Linked DNA regions of Rattus norvegicus. The protein of the gene in region 2 interacts with the protein of the main gene of each other region in a pairwise test. Links are inferred from orthologs where the notes say so. Each region holds a gene or a part of one and is shown on either strand. Other genes may lie near its edges. The genes, in order: Zfp414, Golga2, Spata2, Morf4l1, Krt18, Morn3 and Rnf135.

Region 1 (4,632 bases), on a different chromosome or scaffold from region 2:
CACACAATGTGGCTGGGGGCCATGTACCCTGCAGGCAGGCAGACAGGCAGGCAGGCAGGCAGGCAGGCAGGCAGGCAGGCAGGCAGGCAGGCCTCTGAGTCCTGGGTCTCCCTCCAGAGAGCCTTTCAACCATGGATGGTAGATGTCAACCAGGACAGATTAGACTTTTCCCTGGGCTTGACTACCCATCACAGCAGGTACCACATTTGCCTCCCATCCCTGGACCCACCATAGAAGAAAACCACTCAGAGACAGAACAAGACACAAATGTTTACACAGGAACACTGGCACAGATACCAGATGAAGGCATAGATACCAGTCATTTGAAAGGCAAAAATCATGTATTTTAAGGGACAGTCACCGCTGCTTTCCAGCATTCACAGGGCCCACTTAGGGCACAGGAATGAAGGGCCCCTCCACCCGTCCCTGGTGGTCACCTGCACGCACCTGAGGGCGCATCGGAGCCGCCCTGAGGTCTTCTAGGACTACTGGTAGCACCTGTAGGAAAGAAGCAGTTCAAGTTCAGAATAAAAGTAGGCTCAATCAGCTTTGTAGGCAACCTGCTCCTATACTCACCTTGACTCTTCTTCCAGATGGCAGTGCTGGATGTCGGTGGCCCTGGAGTGGCAGCCAGGAATGGGCGCAGTCTCGGGGGACTCAGGCCAAAGGGTGCAGGGTTCAAGTAAGGAAGGAAGGGCCCAGTGGGGGCAGAGGTGAAAGGCTCAAGTAGTGGGAATGGCAGGCCCAGGGAGGACGAAGGGTCGGACTCTGGGGGACGCTCAGGTACAGGTGGCTCTTTGTCCAGGGCAGGGGGTGGTGGCGGGGCTGGGTTCTGACCATGGTCTATACAAACATGCAGATGCTTGAAGAGCGAGCGATGAGTGCGGAAGCGCAGGAGGCAATTCTCACACCTGGAGGCAGGCACAGTACTTGACTGTCTCCTGGGCAACAGGAAGGGCCTATCCATTGCTACCCAGGGACCAGGATGTGGGAAGGGTATCTACATTAGAACCTCTGTGGTACTGTACCCAAAGTGAAGGAGCTTGGCCTCCATGCCCTCCTTCACTGTAGTCTTCTGGATCTTTCCAGCTCAGACTCTCAAGTTTTGATTTTACTTAGGTGACCAGTTTTCCATATAAGAAATGAGGTGGAACTGGACAGAACCACAGCATGTGTACTCTGCACCTCCACACTGAGCCTGTAGCCACAGTGACTTACTCCTAATTCACATCTGTTTTCCATGCACGGTTGGGGCTGGTTTCCCAGGCCATACTCATACTTCAACCCACCCTTCCTCCAGTTAGGAAGCCCTAAAGATTGGGAATCGACAGAGGGGATGGTCAGGGTCTCACTTGAAGTATCGATTGGGCTTGTAGTGCAGCTTGCCGTGGGCTACCAGCTCCTGCATGCTGGGGAAACTCTCAGTGCAGCTCAGGGCTGAGCATCGGAAGAGTTTGCCTGGTAGGGATAAAGTGCAGATGTGGAGTGGGGTGGTTAAGACTAACCCTGGGGAGCTCTGCCTATCTTCCACCCTAATCTGCTTCACTATCAGCAACCTTCCACTTACCTTCCAGTGACTGTGTGGGTGGACAGTGGGTACGGAGATGCTGTGCCAGATCTCGAACACTGGGGAAACTGAGGGAGCAGCCAGGGCTAGAGCAGGGTATTTGTTTCCCTGCAGGATAAATGGGTATCATTAATCTTTTCCTTACTGACCTCCCCTCATTCCCAAAGCCTTGAACACTCCCCACCCAGCTACTGTTAGAATAAACTTCCTGGAAGGGCTAGATTGGTTTAGTTCATCCCTGGAGCCATACCTGACATATTGACAAGATGCACAGTAAATGGTGAAGACCACCCCCCCAATGGGATATCCTGCACCATCTCAGTCCTATCAAAGGCATGGGACTCCCCAGAAACTCCACAGATAACCTGGTGGTGGACGTCGTCTAGGCAACCGAAGGTCCTCATTGGTCCCCACGCCTCTGGTGGTCGAGCTAGTCTGGCAGCTGTCTGGGACTGGACAGGCAACTTGCTGCAGAGGTCCTCCACGGTCCCATACTGGTGGCGTGGCTGTTGGGTTAGGGCCGGGCTCCTCCACGGAGGAAAGAGTGGCTGTAGCTGCCACATCCGGAGATGCCACCTCCTTGTCAGGCTCATTGGAGCTGGATTCTACAGTGGCCAGCGTGTCCGAGCTGGGTCCGGATAATTCCTCCTGGTGCAAGACGTGGTTAGAATCAGACTGGGATCCCTAGGACAGAGGGAAGCCCTTCTACTACAAAGGTCCACAAGACTCTAGGTTTCGAACTCCCTCCACTTTCACCAGATATTACCCCAGTCATTTCACTTTCTGAGTCATCAGCACGGTAAGGGAGGTAAGGGCAAACTGAGCTACTGTCTTCTAACTCCAATTGCAGAAGGAGTCATCAGGGATTATGCATAAAAGAACATCATCAACATCCCTTCCTTTTCAACTTTGGCAGGAGAGGCACGATGGAGCGGAGGCGTGGCCTAGAGGAGCAACCAGGAAATGCTGGAGGGCCAGGAGGGGATTGTGTGAAGGGGAATATAGGTCGAGCTAGAGCTGAGCAGGGAAGTTCAGGGCCAGAATGTGTTAAATTTAGGGGCTGAACTCTAGGAGAGTGGGCGTGGCCCAAGAGAAGCCAGGCCTAACTGAAGGGGCTGGACGCTCACTAAGTGACAGTCAGCGGCGGGCGGGGACCCGGATGTGGGGGCGGGGTCGCTGGAGGGAGGCGCGGCAGAACCGCTCCCTATCAGTCCCGCTGCTCTTCCGCGCCCGCGTCCGGGATGCTGCGCTCACCATCCTCTACTCAGTTAGACCTCTGGTTCCCGTGCCTTCGGTGGCTCTGGCTCCAGCAGGGGCGGCCTCCTTGGCGGCACAGGCTCACGCTCACGTCGGCGCCATTTTCCCGCTTCTCAGATCTCGCGAGATATGGGGTGTGGCCTAGTTCTGGGCGCCTCTCTAGGAGGCGGGGCCTGAGACTAGGCTGCTGTTCTTAGTCAGGTGAGTACATATAAATCCCACTACAGAATCAGAAAATAGGCTGGAGAGATGGCTCAGTAGTTAAGAACACTGACTGCTCTTCCAGAGGTTATGAGTTCAATTCTTAGCAACCACATGGTGGCTCACAGCCATCTGTAGGGGTATCCGATGCCTTCTTCTGCTGTCTGACATAAAATTTCAGAAAGAAACCAGCAATTTTTGTCTACCAGGTCAGGTTAACCTGGAACTCTCAGTCCGCCTTAGCTTGTAGAGTATGTGAACGAAAGACATGCTTTCGATTGGACTTTTTAGGGAAAACTGACAACAGCTTTCTCCCCTCCCCTTCTCCCTGTTTCAGCCCAGGCCCACCTTACACAGAAGTTGATCCTGAGCTTGGATGCCAATATACCAGGTTTTAGGCAGTACTAGGTATCAAACCCAGAGTTTTCATATATGCTACGCAAACACTCTACAAAGCAAGCTACATCCTTAGCTATATACACATACATATACAAATGAATATGTATATGCACAGATGTGAGCAAGTAAGTGTGGAGGCCCAAAGTAGACATTGTCTTCCTCTACTGCTCTCCACTTTGTTTATTGAGGCAACATCTCTCACTGAAGTTGGAGCTCACCAGTTCCCACTGATCTAGCTAGCTTACTTGCCAGAAGATTCCCGTGTCCACCTCTGAAGTGTCTCAGTTACAGGTTGTTGCCATGCCTCACAGGGAGTGCTGGGGATCCAGACTTCCTCATTTACCCAAGTGTTTACACTCATTTACATGTGGGTCTGAGCCCTGGTCCCTATGTCCGCACAGAACCTTCTTCCTAGCAAGCACCATATTTTCCAGCATATCTAATCTACAGTAAGAACAAATCTGTTACAGTAGCTCGATGTGGGAAACACGCTTGGTAACTGTGGATCTTCAGGTTAGGTCAACAGGCAAATCCCACAGGTAGAGAGGTGTGACCATGAATCCCAAGTGCACTTTCCTTAAGTGCCAGGGGGGAACTTGGTACTGCTCATGGAAGACTGGAGTCAACCACTGAAAACAGAGAGACAGTAAATCAACAACAGCAGAAAATGATCTTGGATCTATCCCAGGAGATAAGAAAACAAACAAAATCTGTGAAATGATGAGTCGGGGACACCCGTTTGAGGGGGTGACTTGAATTATGCTTGGGGAAGCAGAGCACTCTGGGAAGCTGGCACATATCCTGAGCTGGCAAAGAACAAACTCCCTTTGGTGAGCAATGGTGACTCCTCTGCACTATTGAAACAGAATAAAGATGTGGTATGGAGGTCAGAAAGTGAATCTGGTTAAGTCCTGGAGACCTTGTGAGAAGTGGAAGAGAAAGAAACCATGGTTTCTGATGTAGTCATTGATGAATGTTTGTTTTTCCATTTTTGTATGTGTGGTTACATGGATATGTGCATATATGTTTGTGGGGTATTTGTGGGTGCATCGTCACATTATGGGTACATGTGTACTTTGTTGCTTGTGCATGTGGAGGCTGGTGGTTGCAGTGGGGAATAATCTTCTATGCCTCTTTCTCCTTATTTAATGAGACAGGACCTCAAAATCAAACCCAGAGCTCACCAATATGGTTCTTGCTCTGGAGAT
Region 2 (3,896 bases):
TTCTCTTCTGCTGGAGGCACCAAGCTCAGGACTGGGAGGGCGCAGACTCAGGAGGGAGTCTGGAGTGCAGAGAGGAGAGCAACAGGAACCATGCTGCATGCTCTATGCTCTGGCTGCCTCCAGCTAAGACGGAAGCCCCTAGGTTTTCCATTCCCCCTTGGTCCCAGGGGCCCCCTAGTCCCTTTCTTCAGAGCCCAAAGGGGAAACTGGAGCCCAGGACTGGCAGCAAGAATCAGGGACCCCGCTGACTCTTACCAATTCCTCTATCGTGCTACTGAGTTGTTTGTTTGTTACATAGCTGGAGTCCAGGGCTACTGCTAGCTCTTGGTACCGGCTCTGAGGCGCATGCAGAGAGGAGGAGTTGAGGAAGGATGGGGGAAAGGGAGAAAGAGCATCATTAGGGGTGGGGGTGGTGGGCTGTCTCAGCTGGCAGCGGGCACCCAGGTCCCTGTAGGAGGAGATAGGTGGTTGGCGTAAAGGGTTGCTCGGCCATGATTCAAGGCCACTTACCTCCAGTTCCTTCATGTTGGAAGACGTGAGGCCCTCCCCGTTGATGTAGGATGTAGACTAGGAGAGACAATACCTCTCATGGAGATGCTCTGTGACCCTCACTGTCTAATCCCTGCAGCCTCCTATTCCCCCTCAACTAGCAGAGTCTGCTTTCCTGTTCACTCACACCCTCTTGTGCCACTCCTCATGGCCCCTAAACCCCCATGGCTCAACCCCGCTGCTCAACAGCTGTCACCTCGAACTTTCCACACCAGGATAAACAGGATAAAATCACATTGCCCATCGAGGTCCAAATCCAGGTCTTCTCCAAGCATGACAAGAGCCGCTCGGGAATCCCTGCCTCGTTTTCTACTGTGCCTTCCTTTCCTCTCTACCTTCTCTCTGGACCCCAGTCCTGTGGTACCTCAGACACAAGGCCATTGAGCTGTTGAGAAAGTTGTCGCAGACTCTCAGTCGATGAGAAAGTCCTAAGGGAGGAGACATAAGATCAGGGGTGCAGGTAGTTTGATGGAAACAGGGCTCATGGGCAGAGGCCTGCCCTGACTCCCTCAGTAGGGAACACTTACTTGGTCTCCTCCATGAGGTTAGAGCAATTGCCAGCATCGTGGCTCTGTGTGGGTAGAAAGAAACAAGGTAACATTATTCAGCTTCTGCTTACTGTCACACAGGGACACCATGAGCCAAATTCATCTCAACACCCATCTTCCCAAGCCTTCCCCAGCTTGGCCTCCCCATGCCAGGCTCCCGGAGCAGCACCTGGACCAAGCTATCTGAAGAGAGAAAGAGTTCAAAGAACTTTGGGAGTCCTTCAGGAAGCAGACAGGAGAGTGTCAGGCAAAGTGAAGAAAAGACAAACCTGAATGAGATCAGCATCGGGGGAAGGGACGACACCAAGAAACATAGTGGCAGCAGCAGTACTTGGTGGTGCAGGAGCAGTGTGGTCTGTGGGCACCTGTCATAGAACAGAGCAGGATGGTTAGAAGACCATGCAGGAGAGAAGGGCCTCAATGCCACGGACACGAGGTGATGGGGCAAGCAGGGTAGCACAGCGGCAGGCACAGGACAGTTGCACATGCTGGGAGCTACTGGGGTACAGACAAGACATGCCCAGGTCTCAGGCTACTTAGTAGCATTCTGAAGGGCCAGAGCTCAAAGCAGGGGCTGCAGGGGCTCCTTCCTGAATACACAAGGACCTAGTTCCCTATGGAGCTCTGACCTGTGGCAGCCACAGCAGGTAGACAAAGTGCCAAGTGCAGGAGGCAGAGAGCTAACGGCCCCTGACTATAGGTCTTGCTCCTGGGATGGACTCATCATCAGGGTCAACATAACCATTCTCCCTCTCCTCTTGCTTTCCTGCCTTCCCTCCTCCCAGACCCATGCACTGGCTGTGTTTGTCGATTCAGAAACAACTGAGTAAAGTAGAGAACAATGGCTGCCCTTTGGCTTGAAGTATCTAGAAGATCATGTAAGCTTCCTAGGAAAAGCAGCCAGGGACCAATCCTAGGATTTCCTATATGGCAGCTTGTAGAAGTCTCCCCACTTCCCTGGCAGGAACTATCTGCTTGACCAGCTGTACCCAGCTCCTCCTCAGGCTCAGGCCTCACTTGTTTGTTTTATTTTCTGAGACAGGGGCTCACTATGTAGCCCTTGCTGTCCTGGAACTCACCCTGTAGACCAGGAAGGCCTTGCACTCACAGAGCTGTGCCTGCCTTTGCCTCCCAGGTGCTAGATTAAAGGTGTGCGCACACCCCTAGGCCTGGTAGTTCAGGCCTCACTCTTAGACTATGTCTCTGGCTTAGAGGTCTTCTCAGGTCCAACAATCCAAATAGGCAAAGGATGGGAAGACAAAAGGAGAGGGACAAAAATTCCAGGCCTATCCAGCAAGGCTGCTCTGGGAGGAAGTGGCCATTCCTTTCTCCAAAGAAATGGCTGCTTGCTTTCTGAAGCCTTCAGTCTCAGCCTCTGGAGATGCTAACCAAATTTCCTCCTTTGAGTAAGTGAGAAAGGACGTCTGAGAACTCAAGTGTGAACTTCATTCTCTTCAGGTTTACTGTGACTAACGTCCCTGTAACACATGTGACTGTCAGTTCTGAATCACACTTAGGTGTTGCCTTGACAATGTCTACAGTTGAGTCTAACAGGTAAGACCAGGGACTCAGTGGCAGCTGGCCACACCTGAGATAGTCTGGAGGTGTGACATTCCCAGCAACAGACCCTTCTAGGCTTTGGGTCCCTTGTAGCATCTTAGTAACACACATCTCTAAGCCTGGCAACATTCACAGAGGCACAAAATAGATAAAAATATTTGTCTGAGTACCTTTTGGTTTTTGTCTTAGGTTTTGAAACAGGGTCTCTCTGAAGTTCATGCTTGCCTCAAACTTGCTATAGAGCCCAGGCTGACCTCAAACTAGAGACCTCCTTTCTGCCTCTGCCTCCCAAAAGCAGGGATTATAAAGATGGGACACCACGCACTGTTGGGAGACTTTCAATTGCTTTGTGAGGAACCATGTAACTCCCCAATTTTAAGTCTTAGAGCTAAGCATGGAGTGCTTACAAAGTTTTCACTCTCCTCAAAATACCCCATCCCATCAGAAACTATTTTTATTTTTCCATAACTTCCTGTTTTATTTCTACTCAGAAGATGCCAATTTCCTTTATCCCTGGAGTAGAAAGTCAGTTATGGTTCAAGAAAGTTTTCATAAACACATGAAAAGTCTTCACTTCCTGAACAGAGGGGCTAGGTGCTCTGGTCAGTATTTCCCAAAGGGGAAACTGAAGCCCCAGCTCTGTGTGACTGACTCCTTAGCACAACAAATGCCAACTCTGTGCCCCCAACTCCCACACGCACAATGTGCCACGTCTGAGCTGAGCACGGAGGCACAGCACCTGAGCCGACCACACCTGGCAGGATCAGCTCTGTTGGCTGAAAACAGCCCAATGCCAGCCTGCGAGTCCTCACCCCGCCCATCCTCAGCCCCACAGGATGTGGCCTTGGCTCAGGCCACCCCTTCAGTTGGACAGAAGCCTGCTCCTTTTGTTTGGTGGATGTCCCCTAACATGTTAACTGAAGAACTAGGTTATATCCAGGAAGCCAGCTCTAAGCCCTGTGAACACAGGTCCTGTCACACGTGGATGCTGAGTCTCTGAAAAGTGCCCTTCCGCCTGTCAGCTCTCTGCTCCTCAGCTCTCCGTGTGTATGATCATGACCCATCTTTCATTGTCAAAGTAGCTGCAAACGCCCCTTCTCCAGCCTTGAGTCCACTGGGAACCAACTTTCCTGTGGCTACATTAGACATCCTGGAGGCCGCGTAACTCTTGTCCTGTGCATTTAGTCTGGTATTGGTATTGGTTCCGGACGGGCTCTCACTGTGTAGGATGGGCTTCCC
Region 3 (3,346 bases), about 140 Mb from region 2:
TTTGGGGAAGCCCAGTTCAATGGATACGAAGTACAAGGATGACTTATTCCGGAAGTACGTGCAGTTCCATGAGGGCAAAGTGGACACCACCCCCGGCAAACAGTCTGGCAGCGATGAGTACCTGCGCGTGGCAGCTGCCACCCTGCTCAGCCTGCACAAGGTGGACCCTTTATATCGATTTCGGCTGATCCAGTTTTATGAGGTGGTGGAGAGCTCCCTCCGCTCGCTGAGTAGCTCCAGCCTGAGCGCTCTGCACTGCGCCTTCAGCATGCTGGAGACAATGGCCATCAACCTCTTCCTGTTCCCCTGGAAGAAGGAGTTCCGCAGCATCAAGGTGAGGTGGGGTGGCCGCCTCTGCCTGCTGCTCCCTCCTGAGTGCACGTGTCCCTGTTCTCAGCGCATGGGCTCTAAGCAGCTGGGAGCTGGTGTGGACCAAAGCCCCAGTTAAGGGGTGGGTGTGTGTGCGTGTTGGGGGTGGGGGTGAGAGAGTCTCACTTTCCATAGCAGGGGCACGGGTGAGTAGAGACTGCAATAAGCCAGGCTGGAACCCTAGCACGTTCCATTCGTTTACTTGTTTACTGTGGTGCTAGGATTAAATCTGTGGTGCATGCTTTACCCTGAGCCATGTCCCTACCTCGGTGTGTTCTTGAAACTTTGACAGAAGGCTCAAAATGCACATCTTCCATTAGGCTTAGCACACCCCCTCAATCCCATCCCTGTACTTCCTCCTGTGGAACAGAGCCTTCATACCTACACACAAACTCGGTGGTCTCTTTGGCCTCACAGGGGCCACGTGTATTCCTGGCTTGGTGGTGTGCATTTAGTGTGCTCTTGCCTGTGGTCTACAGGCAGAAGCCCCCATCTCTCCCTGCTGGTCCCGCTCTGCATTTGGTTTGAACAGGCCTCGCTATAGCATGCCTCTTTTTTTTCCTGCCCACTTTCTCCCTAGACCTACACGGGCCCTTTTGTTTACTATGTCAAGTCCACGTTGCTGGAGAAGGACATCCGAGCCATTCTAAAGTTCATGGGCTACGAACCTGAGTTGGGGACTGCATACAAACTCAAAGAGCTTGTGGAGTCCCTCCAGGTGAAGATGGTCTCCTTTGAGCTCTTCCTGGCCAAGGTCGAGTGTGAGCAGATGCTGGGAATACACTCACAGGTAAAGGACAAGGGCTATTCAGAGCTGGATGTGGTGACTGAGCGCAAGAGCAGCACAGAGGATGCACGTGGGTGCTCAGATGCCCTGCGGAGGCGGGCTGAGAGTCGAGAGCACCTGACCACTTCCATGGCTCGTGTGGCACTCCAGAAGTCAGCCAGTGAGCGCGCAGCCAAGGACTACTACAAGCCCCGAGTGACCAAACCCTCCAGGTCGGTGGATGCCTACGACAGCTACTGGGAAAGCAGGAAGCCCCCCTCAAAGGCCTCACTGAGTCTGCGCAAGGAGCCCCTGGCTATGGATGTAGGGGAAGACTTGAAGGATGAGATCATCCGCCCATCCCCCTCATTGCTGACCATGTCCAGCTCCCCCCATGGTAGCCCTGATGACCTTCCCTCCATCTCCCCCATCAATGGCCTGGGCCTTCTTCGTAGCACGTACTTCCCCACTCAGGATGACGTGGACCTGTACACGGATTCCGAACCCAGGGCCACCTACCGGAGGCAAGATGCTCTGCGGTCAGATATATGGCTGGTCAAAAATGATGCCCACTCCATCTACCACAAGCGTTCACCCCCCACCAAAGAGTCTGCCCTCTCCAAGTGCCAAAACTGCGGCCTGTCCTGCAGCTCCTCCCTCTGTCAGCGCTGTGACAGTGTCTGTCCTTCGGCCTCCAAGCCCAGCGGTTTTCCCAGCAAGGCCTCTGCACACGACAGCCTGGTCCATGGGGCACCTATGCGGGAGAAATATGTGGGACAGACTCAGGGCCTTGACCGGCTGGCAACTGTCCACTCAAAGCCCAAGCCCTCTACCACAGCCACCTCCCGCTGTGGCTTCTGTAACCGTGCAGGTGCCACCAACACCTGCACCCAGTGTTCAAAAGTTTCCTGTGACCCCTGCCTCGGCGCCTACCACTACGACCCCTGCTGCAGAAAGAGTGAGCTGCACAAATTCATGCCCAACAATCAGCTGAATTACAAATCCACCCAGTTCTCCCATCCCGTGTACAGATAGGCCCCGCCCCCCATCTTCTGCTACAAGGGCTATACACCACTGACCTGGCTTGGCAGCAGAGCTGTGCTGGAAGGGAACAGAGACTTGAGCTTGACCATGGAAGCGCCAGGGCTAACTGCTCTGTCACACAGCTCACTTGGCACACCACATCCCAGCCGGCAGCTGCTGTGTGATCTGAAGGACAGGATGGCACTTCCAGTCACTTTGCTGACCTCTCCACTCCCTGCTCAGCCGGTTTGGGTTTGGGTTCTGGTTCTGGTTCCCTTGAAATAAGGTCTCTGTCTCGGGACTCTTGCTACACCTGCCCCCCACTGCAAAGCCAGCTTGGACTGGGAAGGAGCCTTTGGGGTCACTTTCAAATCCTCATCAGGAGTGGTGAGCTAGAGGCCTGCTGGCTTGTGAAATGAGCCCTCCTGCCACACCCGGCCTCTGATGGCTCGCCTCTCTTTCTGCTCCCTTGATACAAGGATCCCTAGGCAGATGTCCCCACCCTTTGTCTCCCTCCAACTGGTATTAAAGGGGAGCCAAGTCCAGTGTTAGTTGAATCCATCTTGCCAGCTCCACTCAGTCAGCCCACAGTGTTGGCAAGCTCTGCTTGTCAGTTGGAAAGTGGACTCCATGGCAGGACGGCGTCCCTTCTGTTTGCATAACCCCTTTACTGTATTGTATATACAGAATTTGAGGTTTATTTTTAAATGAGTGTTCAACTTGCTGTGTGTTTCAACATGGTGAAAGAAATTAATGACATGATATTTATAAAGGTGCCCCGGGCTCTTTAGTCTTCCAAGGGGGGCTGCGTGCCCTTTCCCGGTGGGAGCTCGGGGTAGGGACTGATAAAGCCCATGTTTCTTCCCATGGTGGTAGAGAGCTACTGTCTTCCCTACAGTAAGTATTATACACCTACCTCCAGTGTGCACATGGGGTTAGCATGGTGCCGGGGTCTGCAAAGACCTCAGGGACAAGGTGGGGACCTCAGCCCTCACATCCATAGCTCTGGTCTTGGTGCCTGCTGAGCATGAATCTTGTACCCTAAACCTCGAATCTCAGAAGGAAGTTCAGGTGGTGGGGTCCTTCCCCTCATCTTGCCTTCCTCACTGATTCCCAGGGCTGTCAGCACGGCTCTCTGTCTTTTTGCACTAGGGTGGGCAGAGGTGGTGTGTGCTCATTAGATAGATG
Region 4 (3,896 bases), on a different chromosome or scaffold from region 2:
ACATTCTGCAAATGATTAATTAAACCTAGGACCTTAATTGCATTCAGGATCAATTGTAGGCAATGACTGCCATGTTTTCTACTACACTCCATTATGAGGACATGTGTAAATGTTCTAATGGTGACCACATTAAGACTGAAGATGCACGTATCTCCTTTGTCTACTGGCGTTTTTGGGAGAGTTCTGCTCCAGCAAACTTCTAACTTTTTTAATCATCAACAAAATTTTAAGGGATCGGAGAGATGGCTCAGTAATTAAGAGCATTAGAACCCAAGTTTCAATTCCCAGCGCCACTCTGTGTGCTGGATCACAGTCACCTACAACTCCAGCTCTAAGAGACCCAATGCCCTCCACAGGCACTGCACATAGGTCATGCCATGCAGGCAAAAACTAAACACCTGTAAAACAAGATTATAACAGTTCATCATAAGACTCTGAGCGCTCCCTGTGTCATTCTCAAGGTACCTGCTTTTGTCTGGTGATCAAGTCCCAGTCATCTACAAGCCATGGTTTCAGCTCCTCAGGAATCTTCACTTTAACTTCAACTCTGTTCATGAATGTTTCTTCCTAAAGAAGAAAGGCAAAGAAAGGTATTGCAAACTTTTTTTTGCTTCTCTTTTGATCTTTAAGATATCAGGTATACACTAATTCCTTGAAGGAACCACTCAAAAGAAGGAATTGCCATACAGGGTGGGGCTCTGTAGGCGAACAGATACATGAAATCATATAGCCAGGAAAAAAATTATGGTCTTGAGTTATTAGGACTCCTTTCCCTCTTTTGGAAATGGAATATTCTTAATACAGCTTAACAGCTTCTTCACATTTACTCTTGATATCCAAATGCTTATACCAAACATGACTTTCTCTCTTCTCCACCCCACCCCATTTAGACATGGTCCTATTATGTAGCTCTGACTGTCCTGGAACTCAATATGTAGACAAGGCTAGCCTCAAACTCACAAGATAGATCTGTCTGTCTCTGCCTCCTGAGTCCTAGAAGTAACAGCTTGCCCCACTAGGCACAGCTAACATGGCTTATCTTTATTTAAAGACACTTTTAATTTTTCAGTTACTAAACCAGAACCTGCCTTTGCACTTTGGTAGCGTGTGCCAGTAACCCCAGCATTTGGAAATCTGAGGCAGAGACTAGCCATTTACACAGCAAGATCCTGTCTCAAACATAAATATTGGAAGGGAAGAGAGTGCGGAAGTAGAGAAGGATCACCAGGGCCTTTAGGACAGCCTGCCAGAAGAAAAGACGAAAACTCACATTTTCAACGGTTGGATCTACCCGGGCTCGCTTCTTCCTAGGAGGCTGAGGGGTCTCACTGGTACTGCCACCATCTCCATTTCCAGGTGCTACAAAACGTTTAAGAATGGCGGGGCTGGTATTGGCTAACTAACAAATTCTTAATGTAAAGAGTGTCGTAAGTTCTCACTTCCCCATTACAGATATTTAATTAATCCAACTTATAGAATAGTTTTTCTTAAAAAAAAATAAAAATAAAAACTTATTTAACACTTTACTTAGGAAATATTTAATAACATATTTAAAAGGCTATCTCCCTAAGACTAAAGCACAGTGAAAACAACCACATCTTTTCAGGCAGTCAAGATAAAAACCACTCCGTCCTTATCTACAAACTCTGTGAGACCTCTACTTGAGGTCATTAAGCCACATACTGTCCCAGTGTCAGTTTCATAGAGTGAACTCACAACTGAAATATTAATAGGTCAATTTTAAAAACATTTATACTTACTTTTCTGTTTGTTCTTTTTTGTTTTCCTGGAAAGAGCAAAAAACAAAAATTACTCCCATAAAAATTGTTCCAATTCTTTGAATGGTAAATTCAGAGAAAAATGGCCCAGCAAAATTATCAGTGACTATATTTTAAGTCTGCTTCCCAAAACATTAATCTTGACTTTAGATATTATTATTATTATTATTATTATTATTATTATTATTATTATTATTATAGACAGTCTCACTATGCAGTTCTAGCATCCTGAAACTCACTATATAGACCAGGCTGGCCTTGAACTCAGATCCACCTGTCCCTGTGAGGACCTGCACACTTGTGAACACACAGCCCCATATACACATCAATTTAAAGGTTCAAAAAATAATTTTAACAACAAAAGGCTAGGTGTGGTGATGCACATCTTTAACCCCAAAATTGGAAAAGCAGAGGCAGGCAGATCTCTTGAGTATGAAGCTAGTCTTTAAATCAAGAACTTCTTCACTTGCATATACGTACATGCTAATGATTCATGGTAACCAAAAGGAATATTATACTTAATCCTTAATACACAAGCTCTGTACCATAATATGAGAATGACTACTCAACTAATCTAAAACCACTCATTCTAATGACTCCTAATAAGGATTCCTGAACAGTCTTGCTTCTATTATCTACATGCTACCTATTAAACATATATGCAAGCAGTTCAAGTATACAGTAGAATTCATATAATAATTGCTAATGTTCTGATTTCTAGTGCTAAAATTTATAAGTATATATGTACTCAAAAGATAAACTGTTAAAACCACATGCTAGGGGACTGGAGAGATGATTCAGTCATTAAGAACACTGGCTGCTTTTCCACACAGGACCTGGGCTGTAGACCCAGGAGCTCAGGGAACAAAGCCCAAGAGAGTGTGGAACAAATGTAAAAGCAGGAGGGAAAAAGTGCCATGAAATGCTGACTTCTGGACATGACAGTTGTACTAGAGTTACTTGTACAAGCCAACATTCCAGCAGGAACTGAAGAGCCCATGAGACCTGCCCTACAGTTGAGGAGCCACTGGCAGTTCATGGCTGCTGAGGAAGAGCGAGCCATTTCCCTTTAGGAGTATGGCCACTAGTAAGGCTGCCCAGGTTCCACCGAGTGGCCCTATAACCACGAACACAAAACTTATCCTTCAATAATAGTTGTGCCCTATGTTTTTGTATAACTAATATTTAAGATCATGTAGTTGGGGGTTGGAGAGATGACTCAGTGGTTAAGAGCTCCAACTGCTATTCCAGAGGTCCTGAGTTCAATTCCCAGCAACCACATGGTGGCTCACAACCATCTGTAATGGGATCTGATGCCCTCTTCTGGTGTGTCTGAAGACAGCAACAGTGTACTCACTCTACAGTGTACTCACACACGTAAAATAAATAAAAATCTTAAAAAAAAGATCATGTAGTTGGTCACCTTACTATACTCATTTTCAGTTACATAACCTTTAGAGATCAGTGTACACTGACTTTCACATTATGGTTACCAAGAAGCCTTACAATCCAGAGTTAACAAATTATACTTTTCTTTCTCACTCTCATTTTACCCATGTATTTTTAGCACTAAGAAAGTAATCCTTGCCAAAACAATTTACATTTCCTTAATAACCTGGTATCTGAGAATTAAGAATTTCACTGACACTTTTAAAAGCTTCCATTAGAAACAAAATATATATTATGATAAAAAGTAAATTTAAATTATACCCATAAAGCAGCATGCAATATTTAAGCAAAGAGTATCTTACACTTCAACATTTTTCTGTTGCAGACCGGATGTCTTCTTCCCTGGAGCAGCCCCTCTCATCTTGCCCTCTGCATATTGTTCCCTTCAAAAATAATGTCAGAAAGTCATTATACTTATCTAAGAAAAATTAAATCTGATTGATTTCACCTAGAATTTCTATTAAACTGAGCTTCCCAGCCAGGTATGGTGGCAAACACTTTTAATCCCAGCACTTTGGAGGCAGAAGCGATGGATGCCTGTGAGGTCAAGGCCAGCCTGGTCTACTTAGTAATTAAGTTCCCAGCCAGCAAGACTTGTACAGTGACAAAAGCCTATCTGTTAGTATAAGTGGACTTTCAGAATGTTCCAAATTGTCTATGTTGTACAGA
Region 5 (4,396 bases), on a different chromosome or scaffold from region 2:
GGCTACAGTGTGGGAGTAATAGGAAAATCAAATCGAAGTGACTCATCTTAGGGAATCTCTTGATTGGGTTAGGGGTGTGGAGGAGGCTTAGAGATGAGACAGTTGGGGCTGAGGCCAAGTATCATAGGTTTGGGCCCAGCAGAACTGCAGCAGGCAACTGGAGGGCACTCACCTGGTTTTTCATCGAGTCCAGGTCAATCTCCAAGGTCTGGAGGGTGCGTCTCAGCTCCAAGAGTGTGGTCTCAGCGTCCCTGATTTCGGCAGACTTGGTGGTGACTACCGTGGTACTCTCTTCAATCTGAAGGATGAGGAGGGTCAGTCAGGACCTGCCGTCCTTGGCACCTCCCTCTCACACAGGGGCAGACAGCCTTCCTAGTTTGTACCTGCTGAGACCAGTACTTGTCCAGTTCCTCACGGTTCTTCTGAGCCAGCTGTTCATACTGGGCACGGATGTCCGCCATGATCTTGCTGAGGTCCTGAGATTTGGGAGCATCCACTTCCACAGTCAACCCAGAACTGGCAATCTGAGCTTCCAGGCCTTGGACTTCCTAAAGAAGGCAGACACAAGGTGGGATGGGCACTTAAGGTCAGCCTTTCATTATTGATGGTGTTTTCTAGAAGGTGATGTTGAGTGCGGAGGCAGAAGAGAACAGGAAAGAAACTCTTGGCGGGCCTAGATCTGGGCTTCTGCTCCAGCTAGGCAAGAATGCAGCCTTAACCAGCCCCTTACAGGCGATCTCCTCTCCTCATTTTAGCTGCTTCTTCCTTTCACATGTCTTACCTTAAGCTTCTTCCAGAAGGCCCGCAGCTCCGCCATCAACGCCAGTTCCTGAGGCTGGCAGTCCCCACCTTTGTCTCCAATTCAGGGTCTTACTCACACAATCTCTGTTTTACTCTATCTAGTAAGACAGGCTGTGTGTTGAACTTAATTCTCCTGCCTCAGCTTTCCAAGCGGTAGGGCTTCACAAGCCAGGCCCTAACCTACCCTGACCTAACAGCACAACTTGGGTGAGCCATAGAACATATATGAGCCAATGGCTCTGCTCTGAATCAAAACCGCCTAGGCTGCTGTTTCCGTGTAAGGCTGCTTTGGGGGCAGCGTGGGCCACGTAGCCTTCGCCCTTAACTCCCAGGCCTGGTCGGTGGCCCCCCACTTACCTCCTCATGATTCTTCTTCATGAACAGCAGCTCCTCCTTGAGCGCTTCGATTTCTGTCTCCAGCTGCAACCTCGTGATGTTGGTGTCATCCACCACCTTGCGGAGTCCATGAATGTCACTCTCCACAGACTGGCGCATGGCCAGTTCCGTCTCATACCTGAGGGGGTGGAGGTGATCAGCGGGCCCCACCTGGTCTAGAACCTTCTCAACCAGTGCCACCTTCATAGAGTAGCCTCGTGCCCACCATAAACCGGTCATGGAGTCAGGTATCATTCCCTCAGCTCTACTCTTGGCTGTGGACTGTGTGCTTAAACTGGGGTGCCCAGGTGAATAGCTAACTCAGTAGTAGTCAATGGACCCTAACCCGGATAAGCCTCCGAAAGGAAGGAACCCCACTCTAACACAGTTCCAGGAGTAGGCCATTCTTAGCCCCAGCCCCAGCCCCAGCCCCAGCCCCAGCCCCAGCCTTACTTGACTCTAAAGTCATCAGCGGCAAGACGGGCATTGTCGATCTGCAGGACGATGCGGGCATTGTCCACAGAATTCGCAAAGATCTGGGTGGATTACAGTGGAGAGAGTCGCTCTGGGAGTTCCGGGTCAAATGAGGGTGTGTGTGTGTAGGAGCGGAGGGTGGGAAAACAGGTCTTATGTTTCAGATGAATCTATCCCACTCCCAGGAACAGCCAGAGGGCCAGTGCTTCTATCTTCCCTCTCCCTTCCTGAACTCCTTGCCCCTCTGCCTGGAGCCTGTACTATCTGGATTGCTTACAAAAGAGCAGCTTCCAACAAGACTTCTCTGATCTTCTTTTCCTGGCATCTTCTCCAGGTGCACCTGCTAAACCCCTGTCCTGGGACGCCCCCCCTACCGCCCCGCTGGCCCCTCCTACAGGTAGGCTCCTGTTTACTCCTAGATGACTCAGCCTTAGCTACATCCGCTTAACCCTCTAACTGTCCCCACTGAAAAAGAAGTGAGTGTCTGGGTTCGTTTTATGACCTTTTTTTTTTTTTTGCGATGCTTTTGATCCTGTTCCCTTCCCACTACACTGCTTTGGGGAAGCCGGCTCCCTTGTGGAGCCACTACGCTTGGAATTCCCACAGGTTGTGGGTGGGGAATCCAGAGTATTCCTAACTCGGTCCCATGTAGTAGGGGTGTGTGGTGAATGGGGAATGAGTGGAGGGAGTCAATCGCCCACACCCTATTCAAGTTTGGGGGTGTGGGAGCATTGGACGGACAGAACAATCGGGAGCTACTGCTCCCTTCCCCCTTCAGGCCCCTTACCTGAGCCCTCAGATCTTCGATGGTCTTGAAGTAGTGGCCCCAGTCTCTGACGCCCTGGGGACCCCTTTTCTCCAGATATTCCCGGATTTTGCTCTCTAGTCTCCTGTTCTCGGTTTCCAGGTTCTTCACCTTGTCTAGGTAGCTGGCCAGGCGGTCGTTCAGGTCTTGCATGGTCTCCTTCTCAGTCTGGACCCCACCCATTCCCGCCAGGCCTGCGGACCCCACGGAGCCACCCCAGACAGAGCGGGACACGGATATCCGGGACCCTGAGCCCCCAGCACCTGCATAGACGCTGGCTGCGCTGCTGGCAGGCCGGACCCGCTGGCTGGGAGTCCGCACAGAGCCCAGGGACCGGTAGTTGGTGGAGAAGGTGGTGGAGCGGGTGGTGAAGCTCATCTTGTCTGGAGAGGAGAACGAAGCGAGAGACCAGGATTGGAGTTCCGCTGCGGTGGGTGGCAGTCCTCGACCTGTTGTTATATCGGCAAGGGAGGAGGTGGGACCTCCCCAACAGGCCCCGCCCCCGCCACCGGAGCCGCGGGCGCCAAGAACGGGATTCCTGTGACCTACCGGGTCGCAGCCCTTCTTGGCTTCTGCACATACCTGCCACCGTCACCGACACAGGGAGGGGGTGACTAATGGGTGCACAAAGGATAGCAGGTAGTGTTAGCCCTTGAGTGTCTGTTTTCAGGGCAGGAAATGGCGTTTTTTAATATCTTTTTTACATAGATAGAAGAGGGATCCATTAGGGTGAAGATTTTGTGGTGTGTTCCTTGCTTAAGTCTGGGGGCAATCGTGGAACCCCAGGAATTCTGGGGAAAGAAAATTGGGAGCTCAAGAAGAGGAAGAGAAACACGAACCTGAGCGCAGGTCTCTTGGTCCTCCCCCCAACCACCTCGCTCCAGTCCCAAGACACTGCTGTGGCTCCATAGGGAACCATGGAAATACATATTTTCAAACGCGTGGGGACACAGGTCCTCACTCAACTCACTCCCAGGAGGCTTTAGCGGGACCTTTGTGATTATGCAGAAGAGGCATCCCATATCCGGACACCTACCATTTTCTTTCTTCCCTCACCCTTCTCTTTTTGAGACAGGGTCTCAAGTAGCTCAGGCTGGCCTTGAACTTTCCATGTGGCAGAGGATGGGGATCAACTCCTGGTCATTCCGTCCCACTTTTGAAGTGCTGGGGTCCCAGGCATGAGACATCCATCACTTTCAGCCTACAGGGTGCTGAAGATCAAACCCAAGGCCTCATAGCTGAGAACTTGGTCAGCCCAAGAGCACATAGATTTAACCAGTATTTGCTAGATACCTTCTAGTAGCCATGAGAACAGCAAGGGTGAGAAATCACTGTCCCTCCTATCCATTGTGTCTGGACAGGTTGGGGTCTGAGTCGCTAGACCAGATATCAGAAACGCCCTACTAAGTTTGAACCATATTGCCTGCCCCTCCATCCGGATTTCTGTTGCTCCCTTGAATCTGCCTCCTTTTTCTGCTCCCTGAGTCTTCTTTCCTTCCTGGCCAGTTTTTATAATGCTCTCTGTCTTTCTGGCTTATCCCCTGGGGAAAAGAGACACCCCACTCCCCCCGCCCCCCCCAGCTGGACGACCACTCCTGCTGAATGAAGAGGGAGAAACCCCCCCGAGGTTGGAGTTGGTCAGCAGGAGGAGCCCGTTTTTCAGGCAGGACTCAGTGTTTGTGATACCTGTGGCCATGCTCTTTGCTCTGGATTGGACTTATTGATCCTTATCGAGCGGCCAGCTGAAACGACTCTGTGTACATGCACATAGAAGAGTAAAACCAGGAGAGAAAAGGGGCCTTAGGAAGAGCCCAGGTCAGTAGATCAGGCAAGAGAGGAAGACGGGGCTGATGCGTGCTGGGTGTGAATGAATGGTTTGAAGCCTGCTTCCTTCCGGACGGACGGGAAAACCTCAGAGACTCCGTGGGACTTGGCTGGGGA
Region 6 (3,896 bases), on a different chromosome or scaffold from region 2:
TGTAGGGGTAAGAGGACAAGTCTGGGAGAATCGGTTCTCTCCTCCTACCTTGTGGGACCCAGGATCAAACTCAAGTGGTCAGATCTGTTTGGAAGCCCAACTCACCATTGAGTGAGTTACCCGCCGAACCGACTCAAAGGCCCTCACACTAAAAACTACTAAACTAAACTAGACATTTGCCCGGCGTCCCAGAGCTAGCCCCAGCTCCCACCAGGATCTGAATTCCTGCAGGCTCGCCCAAAGTCCAGACCATGAGAAGCTCCTGGAACATTTGCTCTGCTTAGCAAGAGCTCTCTAAATCCAGTTTATGCTCAGTGGAGGCTCACTGAAGGCAGGCTCCTTGCAGAGGATAGGGACTTCAAGACAGACATACAGACTTGACCGCCTCTGCCCTCCCAGCTGATCCATGACCTCAGCTCAGTTGGACCTCATTGAAAAATCGGAATCTCACTTTTTCAGGGCCAACAAGACAGGTATTATGGGACAGGTATTATGGCTGGTGGGGCAGCGAGTGTGGGAGGAGATCTTTCCGGGATGGGGCGGGGCCAGGAAGCCTTGGGGCGTGGTTTCATGGGGCGGGGCACTCACTCAGCCGCAACATGCCCTCCCCATCAGGCTTGTCGTTCTTCCATTGGCCTTCGTAGATGTCTCCGTTGTTGTAGTACATGCGTCCCCACCCGCTGCGCTGGTTGCTACACCACTCACCCTCGTAATACTCCTTGGGTCCGAAAAACTGGATCCCATAGCCCTGAAAGCAGGAAGGTGTCCCACTATTTGCCAATTCTCACTCCTGAGTCTCCTCCTGCTCTCCTAGCAGAGGTCAAAGAATTCTAGCTGCATATTTCAGTTCATTTCTGCACCGCCTGAATACCGCCCGCATAATTTCTCTTTTCTGGTCCTCTTATCTCTGACCCCACTTCCACACACCCTCTATACAGCCATCAGAAGGATATTTTATACCCCGTAGGATCAGCCACCCAACTCTGATTACAGCCAGTCTCTACTCACCTGTCTCCTTAGAAACATAAATGTTACATTTGGAGACTAACAGCAGGAAGCTATTGGAGATCGTGCTCAAAGTGGCTTGGTTAAGTAGCATTAAGGTCTGCACTTCAAAATCCCAATGCCACTTTTTCACTACTCTCTTTCCCTCCCCCAGAGCAAGTAAGACCTGCTGATTGGTAACTTTATTTCTTCCTACCAATTCATGTCTACTGGGCTAGCTCCTGGCTGCTCTGATTTGACCTCCTGCGCTGTATTTTCTAGGTTAGATTACCTGATCTCCCAACCCCGGGAAACCACTGCTGACTTTCCATAAAGGCAAATAAATCATTTGTTTTAGGATCAGTCTTTCCGCCGGGAGCAAAGAACATGAAATCTTGGGCTCTGCAGCTGGTTAGCTGTGTCACCAACCCCAGGCTAGGTGCTTCACCTCCCTGAACTTGTTCCGTAGTAAAACGGAAGACCGATGTTGACAGAGCTGTTACAAGAACTCAAGTGTCATGTACAGTAAGAGCTCAACGGCAACATTTATAATTATCAGACTCCATGCTTACAGCAAGGATCAATACAAGTTGGTTGTTTTTTTTTTTTTTTTTTAATATGTCTGCAGTAGAATGAATGTTTGTGGAATTTCCTCTGGCTAGCTTCTCTCCCCACACCCCTTCTTCTTTTGTCCTTGTTTCCTGTTTTCAGTCAGGCTCTCTATGTAGCCCAGGCTGGCCTCAAACTCACTCTCCTGAAGGTGGAGACCGTCAGGTTGTTGAGATCACAGCTCTGCACCTCCATGCCCTGCGTCCTAGCCTCCCATCTGACTCAGGCTAGCAGGAGGAAGAGGATTCTCAGAATGGGGTACCAGGAGAAGAAAGCCAGGAAACGGGGGAAGAGGGTGGAGGAGACCTTGTCTGCTGCCTCCCTGCAGCCATAGAGTTTTTAAAGGGTTCCTCATTGGGGCCCCCACTTCTCTTGCTTCCTGTTTTCTTGGTTTTGAAAAGTGCTACAGTTCCTCTACCCCTTCCTTCTCCCACCCAGCAAACCACCTCCCACCTTTGCCCTCTGAGCGGGCACTCTCTCTCACGCACTTGCTTTCTTTTTCTCCTACACACACACACCACACATACACAAATACTACACATACACACACACACACACCACACACACACACACACCACACACACACACACAGGCCCCCCCACAACACACACACACACACACAGGCCCCCCCACACCACACACATACACACACACCACACACACACAGGCCCCCACCACCACACACACATACACACACACCACACACACACACACACCAGATACACACACATACACACACACCACACATACACACACACCAGATACACACACACCACACACACACACACACACACACACTGAGCTCTCTCTCTCTCTCTCTCTCTCACACACACACACACACACACCACACACACACACACACACACACACACACAAACACAGACAGGGCCCACACACACACACATACACACACACACACTGAGTGCTCTCTCTCTCTCTCTCTCTCTCTCACACACACACACACACACACACACACACACAAACACAGACAGGGCCCACACACACACATACACACACACACACACACACACACACACTGAGTGCTCTCTCTCTCTCACACACACACACACACACACACACACACAGCCTGGCTCTTACCCTTACCTACAGACAGGCAAGGCATGCTGGGAACCACTCACCGATTTCTTGTCACCTTTCCACCAGCCTGAATACACCCTCTTGAGCTTTCCAGTTTCTGGGTCAGGATGACTGAGGATGCCATAGCCATCTCGCTTCCCAAACTTCCAGTCCCCTTCATACATAGCACCACTCTGCTTCCAGACCTGTGTTCCTTTCCCTGGGGACACATGGATGGGCCAACATTGCAGGTGGCTGCCACCCTGAAGCTGGAAGCCACATGCCAGGACCCTGGGGTCCTCTGCCCTGAACAGTTTCTTCAGAACTGGAATAGGGTCTGTGCCTCATCTCTAGACTATAAGCACACAGAAGAAAGGGATGCTCCATGTCTAAAGACAGTGATTTCCCTGCCCATTGTTTAACAGCCAGACCCATATGGCAAACCTTAATGAGAGGTGAGGCTGAGGCAGGAGGATGGTGAGTTCCAGTCCAGCCTGGGCAATATCTAGAGACTCTGTCCCCAAAAGAAAGTAAAAAGGGGGGCAGGAAATGGTGTGAGGACCTAGATTCAATTTCCAACAGTGAAAGAAAAAAGAAATCCTGCCCTTTACAATGTAGATGAACAGGAAGGATATTAAGATGAACAAGAGGGCTGGAGAGGTGGCTCAGTGGTAAAGAGCAGCAACTGCTCTTCCAGAGGTCCTGAGTTCAATTCCCAGCAACCACATGGTGGCTCACAACCATCTATAAAGGAATCATATAATGGGATATATATATATATATATAGGAATGAAACAGCCATGCAGTGGTGGCACATGCCTTTAATCCCAGCACTCGGGAGGCAGAGGCAGGTGGGTCTCTGAGTTCAAGGCTAGCCAGCCCCTGGTCTACAGAATGAGTTCCAGGAAGCCTAGGCTATACAAATTGTCTCAAAAGACCTAAAATAAAATAAAAAATAAAAATAAACCAGACTCAGAAAGACCAGTGCCAGGTGATGTTACTTTTATGTGGGGAAGTCAATCTCATAGAAATAGAGGATAACATGGTGAATGCCAGAAGCCAGCAGGAGAGAGGGAGAGAGATGTGAGTCTAAGGTTATTGTAGCATAAGGTTTTGGGGACCGATGTACAGCATTGAAATTATTGAAGTAAGTCGGGGCTGGAGAGATGGCTCATGGGAAAACAGTGCTAGCCTTGCAAGCTGATACTTGACTTTGCTCTCTGGAA
Region 7 (3,896 bases), on a different chromosome or scaffold from region 2:
AAGACAGCTACAGTGTACATACATACGTAAAATAAATAAATCTTAAAAAAAAAAAAAAGGCATGTGAAATCTTAAGAGTCTCTGACAGGGAGTTTGATTCATTCAAGGAAATCGGTGAAGGCTACTCTCCCAGAGGGCGATGATTTAGGGGACTGGGAGGCAGTGAGGCCTTCAGCAGGTGAGTGGAGCAAGGTTGTCAGGGTTGCTGGAAGCACAGTCCCATTCCTTTCTCCCCCGCCTTGGGGTTGTGAGGCTCTGCCCTACCACATATTCCTGCCAGTGCCCCTGGACTCCTATACATAGTGACCTAAAATAAACTTTTTTCCATTTCAGAAGCCGGTTATCACTGTTATTCAGACATCGTCAGAGTATTTCAGGTGGATGAGTTAGATGAAGAAAGCTAACTAAGATAAAGTGGAACATCTGTAGGGCTACGATGACAACCCAGGCAAGAGACTGTCATCGGCCTGGACTTGAGAAGTCTCAGAGGAGCTCAGGCATGAGTAGAGCTGGAAGATCTTCAGCTGGCCTTGGAGCTACAGTGCTCTGCTAGGCAGGTTAAGGCACAGGAAGTGTCATGACTTCCAGGCTTTTGACTTGTGTGTTTGGAAGAATGAGACCAAGACAGTGATGGAGACTCCCCAGAGGAACTGCGCTGTATTGGAGACAGCCAGAAGGAAACGTTGAGAAACGAAGTGGAAGCTTCTAGGTCTTTGGAAACTTATGTCAAATGATTGTTTGCTGGGGCTCACAGGTGGAAGGATGTCTTGCTAAAGCAAACATGTGAGAGACTGTTGTCCTGAAGCAGACACAGGTGAAAGGACGCTTGACGAAGGAGTATCAATGTGGCCCCATAGACAGTGGAGACAAGCACTGTATGTTTGCCTTACATAGCACTGCTGAGCTCAACTTGTGATACACAGCCATTGAGAGAAGCTCTCCCAAGAACTGTTTCCAAGGGCTGGAGATGGCTCAGTGGTTAAGAGCACTGACTGCTCTTCCAGAGGGCCTGAGTTCAATTCCCAGCAACCACATGGTGGCTCACAACCATCTGCAGTGGGATCCAATGCCCTCTTCTCATGTGTCTGAAGTCAGCTACAGTGTACTCACGTGCATACAATAAATAAATAAATAAATAAATAAATAAATAAATAAATAAATAAATAGTAGGTTGCAAAAACTGCATACCTACAGAGAAACAGGAAAGGAGGGTCAGGAGTTCATGGCCAGCTCTCATTATATACTGAATTCAAGGCCAGTCTGGGCTAGAGATCCTACCACATAAAACAAAAGCAAATAAAGCAACTGGGGACTGAGCGTAGTGGAACTCGGGAGGATTCAGGAGGCTGGTACAGGAGGACCATGAGTTCCTGGTGAACAACAAAACTCCATCTCAAAAGGAAGCGGGGTGCTTGCTGCACAAATCCGATGACCCGAGTTAGATTCCTGGAACCCAGACTCCGGAAAGCTGGGCTCTGACCCCCACACACCCGACCCTGCACACACACCCTCTCAACACACATACCCTCCCCTCTACACAATCCCCCCGGCACACACAAACTCCCCTCCACACAATAATAAAAATACTTTCTGCAAGGTCACTGAGTGAGGCTGGAGAGTTAGCTTGTCAGCTTGTTAGCTTGTCAGTGTTCTTGCACACGACCTGCGTTCAATTCCCAGTACCCACATGATGGCTCGCGCCCATCTATAGCTTTGATTCTAAGGGATCCATCGTCCTCTTTCCTCTGCCCTACTCAGACATCGGGCATGCACACGGTGCACACACATAAAAGCAGACGAAACACCCAAAAACATAAAATAAGATAAACACATCTTTAAAAAGATTTTTGGGGTTGGGGATTTAGCTCAGTGGTAGAGCGCTTGCCTAGGAAGCGCAAGGCCCTGGGTTCGATCCCCAGCTCCGAAAAAAAGAACCAAAAATAAATAAATAAATAAATAAATAAATAAAGATTTTTAAGGGACACTGAAGATGAGGACTTTCAAACCTGTGGGATTTACCTAGGTATTGTTGGTGGATTTAGAGAGTGAATCATGTAGAGTGGGAAGGATGGATCCCAGCCTACTTAAAGCTTCCATTAACTCAAAGCCAGCCTGCCACTTTCCCAATCACCCATATTTGGCAATAAAGAGAATAAGTAGTAAAGCCTGAGACCTGTTGCGTGTCGTCTCTCCCGGACAGCTCTAGCAGGAAGCTGTCTTTCACCCCAGCCCCTTCTCCCCTCCTGAACCTACCATGTGCAGGATGCCTAGAGCATTGTCCAGTCCAGATGCCAAGCTAGGTCTTTGCGTTTGAAGGCTCTTGACAATGTCTACAAGCTGTCCCACCAGCTCAGTCAGCTCCTGGACAACTTGTGTAGTGCTTTTCTGTACTGTCACCTTTAAAAGAGCACAATTGGGCTTCTGGTTCACAAAAAAAATTGGACCCAGGAATATAGTTCCCCCAATAGAAGAAGCTTTAAATGCCAAGGAAGCAGACAGGTAGACCAATGGAAAAATAGCTGGATAAAGTGATGCCTTTCATCCCAGCCCTGGGGGGCAGGGTTGGGGGAGAAAATGCAAATGCTACTCCAAGGGGCAAGGAGTCCTTTCAACAAACACCATCAGGAAAATGGCATGAACAAATAAAGTTAGATTCTTCTGTTGGTTTGTTTTGCTTTTGAAACAGGGAGGGTCTCTCTACAATGTCCTGACTGTCTTGGAACTCACTGTGTAGACCAGACGGGCCTGGGACTCACAGAGGTTTACCTGCCTCTGCCTTCAAAGTGCTGTGATTAAAGGAACGTGATGTGCTAATGAAAGGGGTGAATCCGCCTGAGCCAGGCTGACTCCATGACAGGCTGCAAACTAGCAGTTCAGGAGACCAGGCCTGGGTTTCCACTTCCCAGAACTGTCAGTTCCCGGAACACCACAGACTTATGTAAAAGAAACCCTTCCCCAGCTTACAAAAGGACAGTTAGCCAAGCTTGTGGCCAAGAGGTCTAGAGCTACCCCTCCATGGCATGAAGCAAGAATAGTCAGTCAAATGTATATAAGAAATACTCAAGTTAATAAAAAAAAAAAAAAAAGAATAGTCAGTCAAGTATGCTTGAAGCAAAACCCTAACCAATGACAGCATCACCCAGACCCCCCAGCGATAGAACCGACCAATCAGGATACAGATCACCTACCCCTCTCTAATGTTCCTCTTTTTGGCTTTAAAACTGAATCTGCAGATTCGGTCAGGGTCCTTCCATCCCAATGGAATTGGGTCCCTGCATGCAGGAGTTCACTCAATAGACACTCTGCTTTTGCATACTATTAGAATCTAGGGCATATTTGTCAGCAATTCAGACCCTAACACTATCATACCTTGCTTGAAGTTAGAGTCTTATCCTAACACTATACAGGAAAATAAATGAGGAGGCCGGGGACAGTGCATGCCTCGAAGTGTGAAACTGAAGACAGGAACTGTAGAGGAATTTTAATCCAGGAACATGGCTACTCTGGAGAGAATTACAGACATGCCCTTGGCACACACCTTTCATCCCAAACAATGAAGGTAAAATTAGTTTGTAGAAGGAAGCAGCCATGTTTGAAAATTATGTCTAACTGAGGGACAGACAAAGTGATAAATCATAGACAAAATAAGATATCCCCAACTCTGGGCTGGAGAGATGGCTCAGTGGTTAAGAGCACTAATTGCTCTTCCAGGGGTCCTGAGTTCAAATCCCAGCAACCACATGGTGGCTCACAACCATCTGTAATGGGATCTGATGTTCTCTTCTGGTGGGTACTTATATATAACAAATGAATAAATCTTTTAAAAAAAGATATGCCCAACTCTCATGAGAAGGGACAGGAAAGAGTCAAACTTAGGAAAGGCATAAGGGGGGGGG

The links.
Region 1: the proteins of Golga2 (region 2) and Zfp414 interact in binary tests that used the Homo sapiens proteins (3 or more experiments, as listed by UniProt). The two-hybrid records come from large-scale screens. The link is inferred for Rattus norvegicus from reciprocal best matches to the Homo sapiens genes GOLGA2 and ZNF414.
Region 3: the proteins of Golga2 (region 2) and Spata2 interact in binary tests that used the Homo sapiens proteins (3 or more experiments, as listed by UniProt). The two-hybrid records come from large-scale screens. The link is inferred for Rattus norvegicus from reciprocal best matches to the Homo sapiens genes GOLGA2 and SPATA2.
Region 4: the proteins of Golga2 (region 2) and Morf4l1 interact in binary tests that used the Homo sapiens proteins (3 or more experiments, as listed by UniProt). The two-hybrid records come from large-scale screens. The link is inferred for Rattus norvegicus from reciprocal best matches to the Homo sapiens genes GOLGA2 and MORF4L1.
Region 5: the proteins of Golga2 (region 2) and Krt18 interact in binary tests that used the Homo sapiens proteins (3 or more experiments, as listed by UniProt). The two-hybrid records come from large-scale screens. The link is inferred for Rattus norvegicus from reciprocal best matches to the Homo sapiens genes GOLGA2 and KRT18.
Region 6: the proteins of Golga2 (region 2) and Morn3 interact in binary tests that used the Homo sapiens proteins (3 or more experiments, as listed by UniProt). The two-hybrid records come from large-scale screens. The link is inferred for Rattus norvegicus from reciprocal best matches to the Homo sapiens genes GOLGA2 and MORN3.
Region 7: the proteins of Golga2 (region 2) and Rnf135 interact in binary tests that used the Homo sapiens proteins (3 or more experiments, as listed by UniProt). The two-hybrid records come from large-scale screens. The link is inferred for Rattus norvegicus from reciprocal best matches to the Homo sapiens genes GOLGA2 and RNF135.

What each region holds. Positions count from the first base shown.
Region 1 is NC_086025.1:15,120,734-15,125,365, reverse strand, and holds Zfp414 (zinc finger protein 414), read right to left. Parts: upstream 2,947-4,632; 5' UTR 2,825-2,946; coding exon 2,822-2,824; intron 2,252-2,821; coding exon of another isoform or gene 2,216-2,251; coding exon 1,933-2,215; intron 1,676-1,932; coding exon 1,568-1,675; intron 1,459-1,567; coding exon 1,353-1,458; intron 942-1,352; coding exon of another isoform or gene 912-941; coding exon 577-911; coding exon of another isoform or gene 499-576; coding exon 434-498; 3' UTR 251-433; downstream 1-250. UniProt on the Homo sapiens protein: May be involved in transcriptional regulation.
Region 2 is NC_086021.1:35,987,972-35,991,867, reverse strand, and holds part of Golga2 (golgin subfamily A member 2), read right to left. Parts: intron 1,463-3,896; coding exon 1,367-1,462; intron 1,121-1,366; coding exon 1,077-1,120; intron 978-1,076; coding exon 914-977; intron 568-913; coding exon 511-567; intron 337-510; coding exon 256-336; intron 1-255. UniProt on the Homo sapiens protein: Peripheral membrane component of the cis-Golgi stack that acts as a membrane skeleton that maintains the structure of the Golgi apparatus, and as a vesicle thether that facilitates vesicle fusion to the Golgi membrane.
Region 3 is NC_086021.1:176,622,971-176,626,316, reverse strand, and holds the end of Spata2 (spermatogenesis-associated protein 2), read left to right. Parts: 5' UTR 1-19; coding exon 20-334; intron 335-949; coding exon 950-2,170; 3' UTR 2,171-2,703; downstream 2,704-3,346.
Region 4 is NC_086026.1:99,527,156-99,531,051, forward strand, and holds part of Morf4l1 (mortality factor 4-like protein 1), read right to left. Parts: intron 3,611-3,896; coding exon 3,530-3,610; intron 1,787-3,529; coding exon 1,761-1,786; intron 1,360-1,760; coding exon 1,271-1,359; intron 568-1,270; coding exon 466-567; intron 1-465. UniProt on the Homo sapiens protein: Component of the NuA4 histone acetyltransferase (HAT) complex which is involved in transcriptional activation of select genes principally by acetylation of nucleosomal histones H4 and H2A.
Region 5 is NC_086025.1:135,034,645-135,039,040, reverse strand, and holds the start of Krt18 (keratin, type I cytoskeletal 18), read right to left. Parts: upstream 2,874-4,396; 5' UTR 2,834-2,873; coding exon 2,438-2,833; intron 1,713-2,437; coding exon 1,630-1,712; intron 1,316-1,629; coding exon 1,159-1,315; intron 549-1,158; coding exon 384-548; intron 299-383; coding exon 173-298; intron 1-172. UniProt on the Homo sapiens protein: Involved in the uptake of thrombin-antithrombin complexes by hepatic cells. When phosphorylated, plays a role in filament reorganization. Involved in the delivery of mutated CFTR to the plasma membrane.
Region 6 is NC_086030.1:39,183,378-39,187,273, reverse strand, and holds part of Morn3 (MORN repeat-containing protein 3), read right to left. Parts: intron 2,891-3,896; coding exon 2,733-2,890; intron 749-2,732; coding exon 589-748; intron 1-588. UniProt on the Homo sapiens protein: Assembles a suppression complex (suppresome) by tethering SIRT1 and MDM2 to regulate composite modifications of p53/TP53.
Region 7 is NC_086028.1:65,671,242-65,675,137, reverse strand, and holds part of Rnf135 (E3 ubiquitin-protein ligase RNF135), read right to left. Parts: exon of another isoform or gene 2,398-3,896; coding exon 2,254-2,397; exon of another isoform or gene 334-2,253; intron 1-333.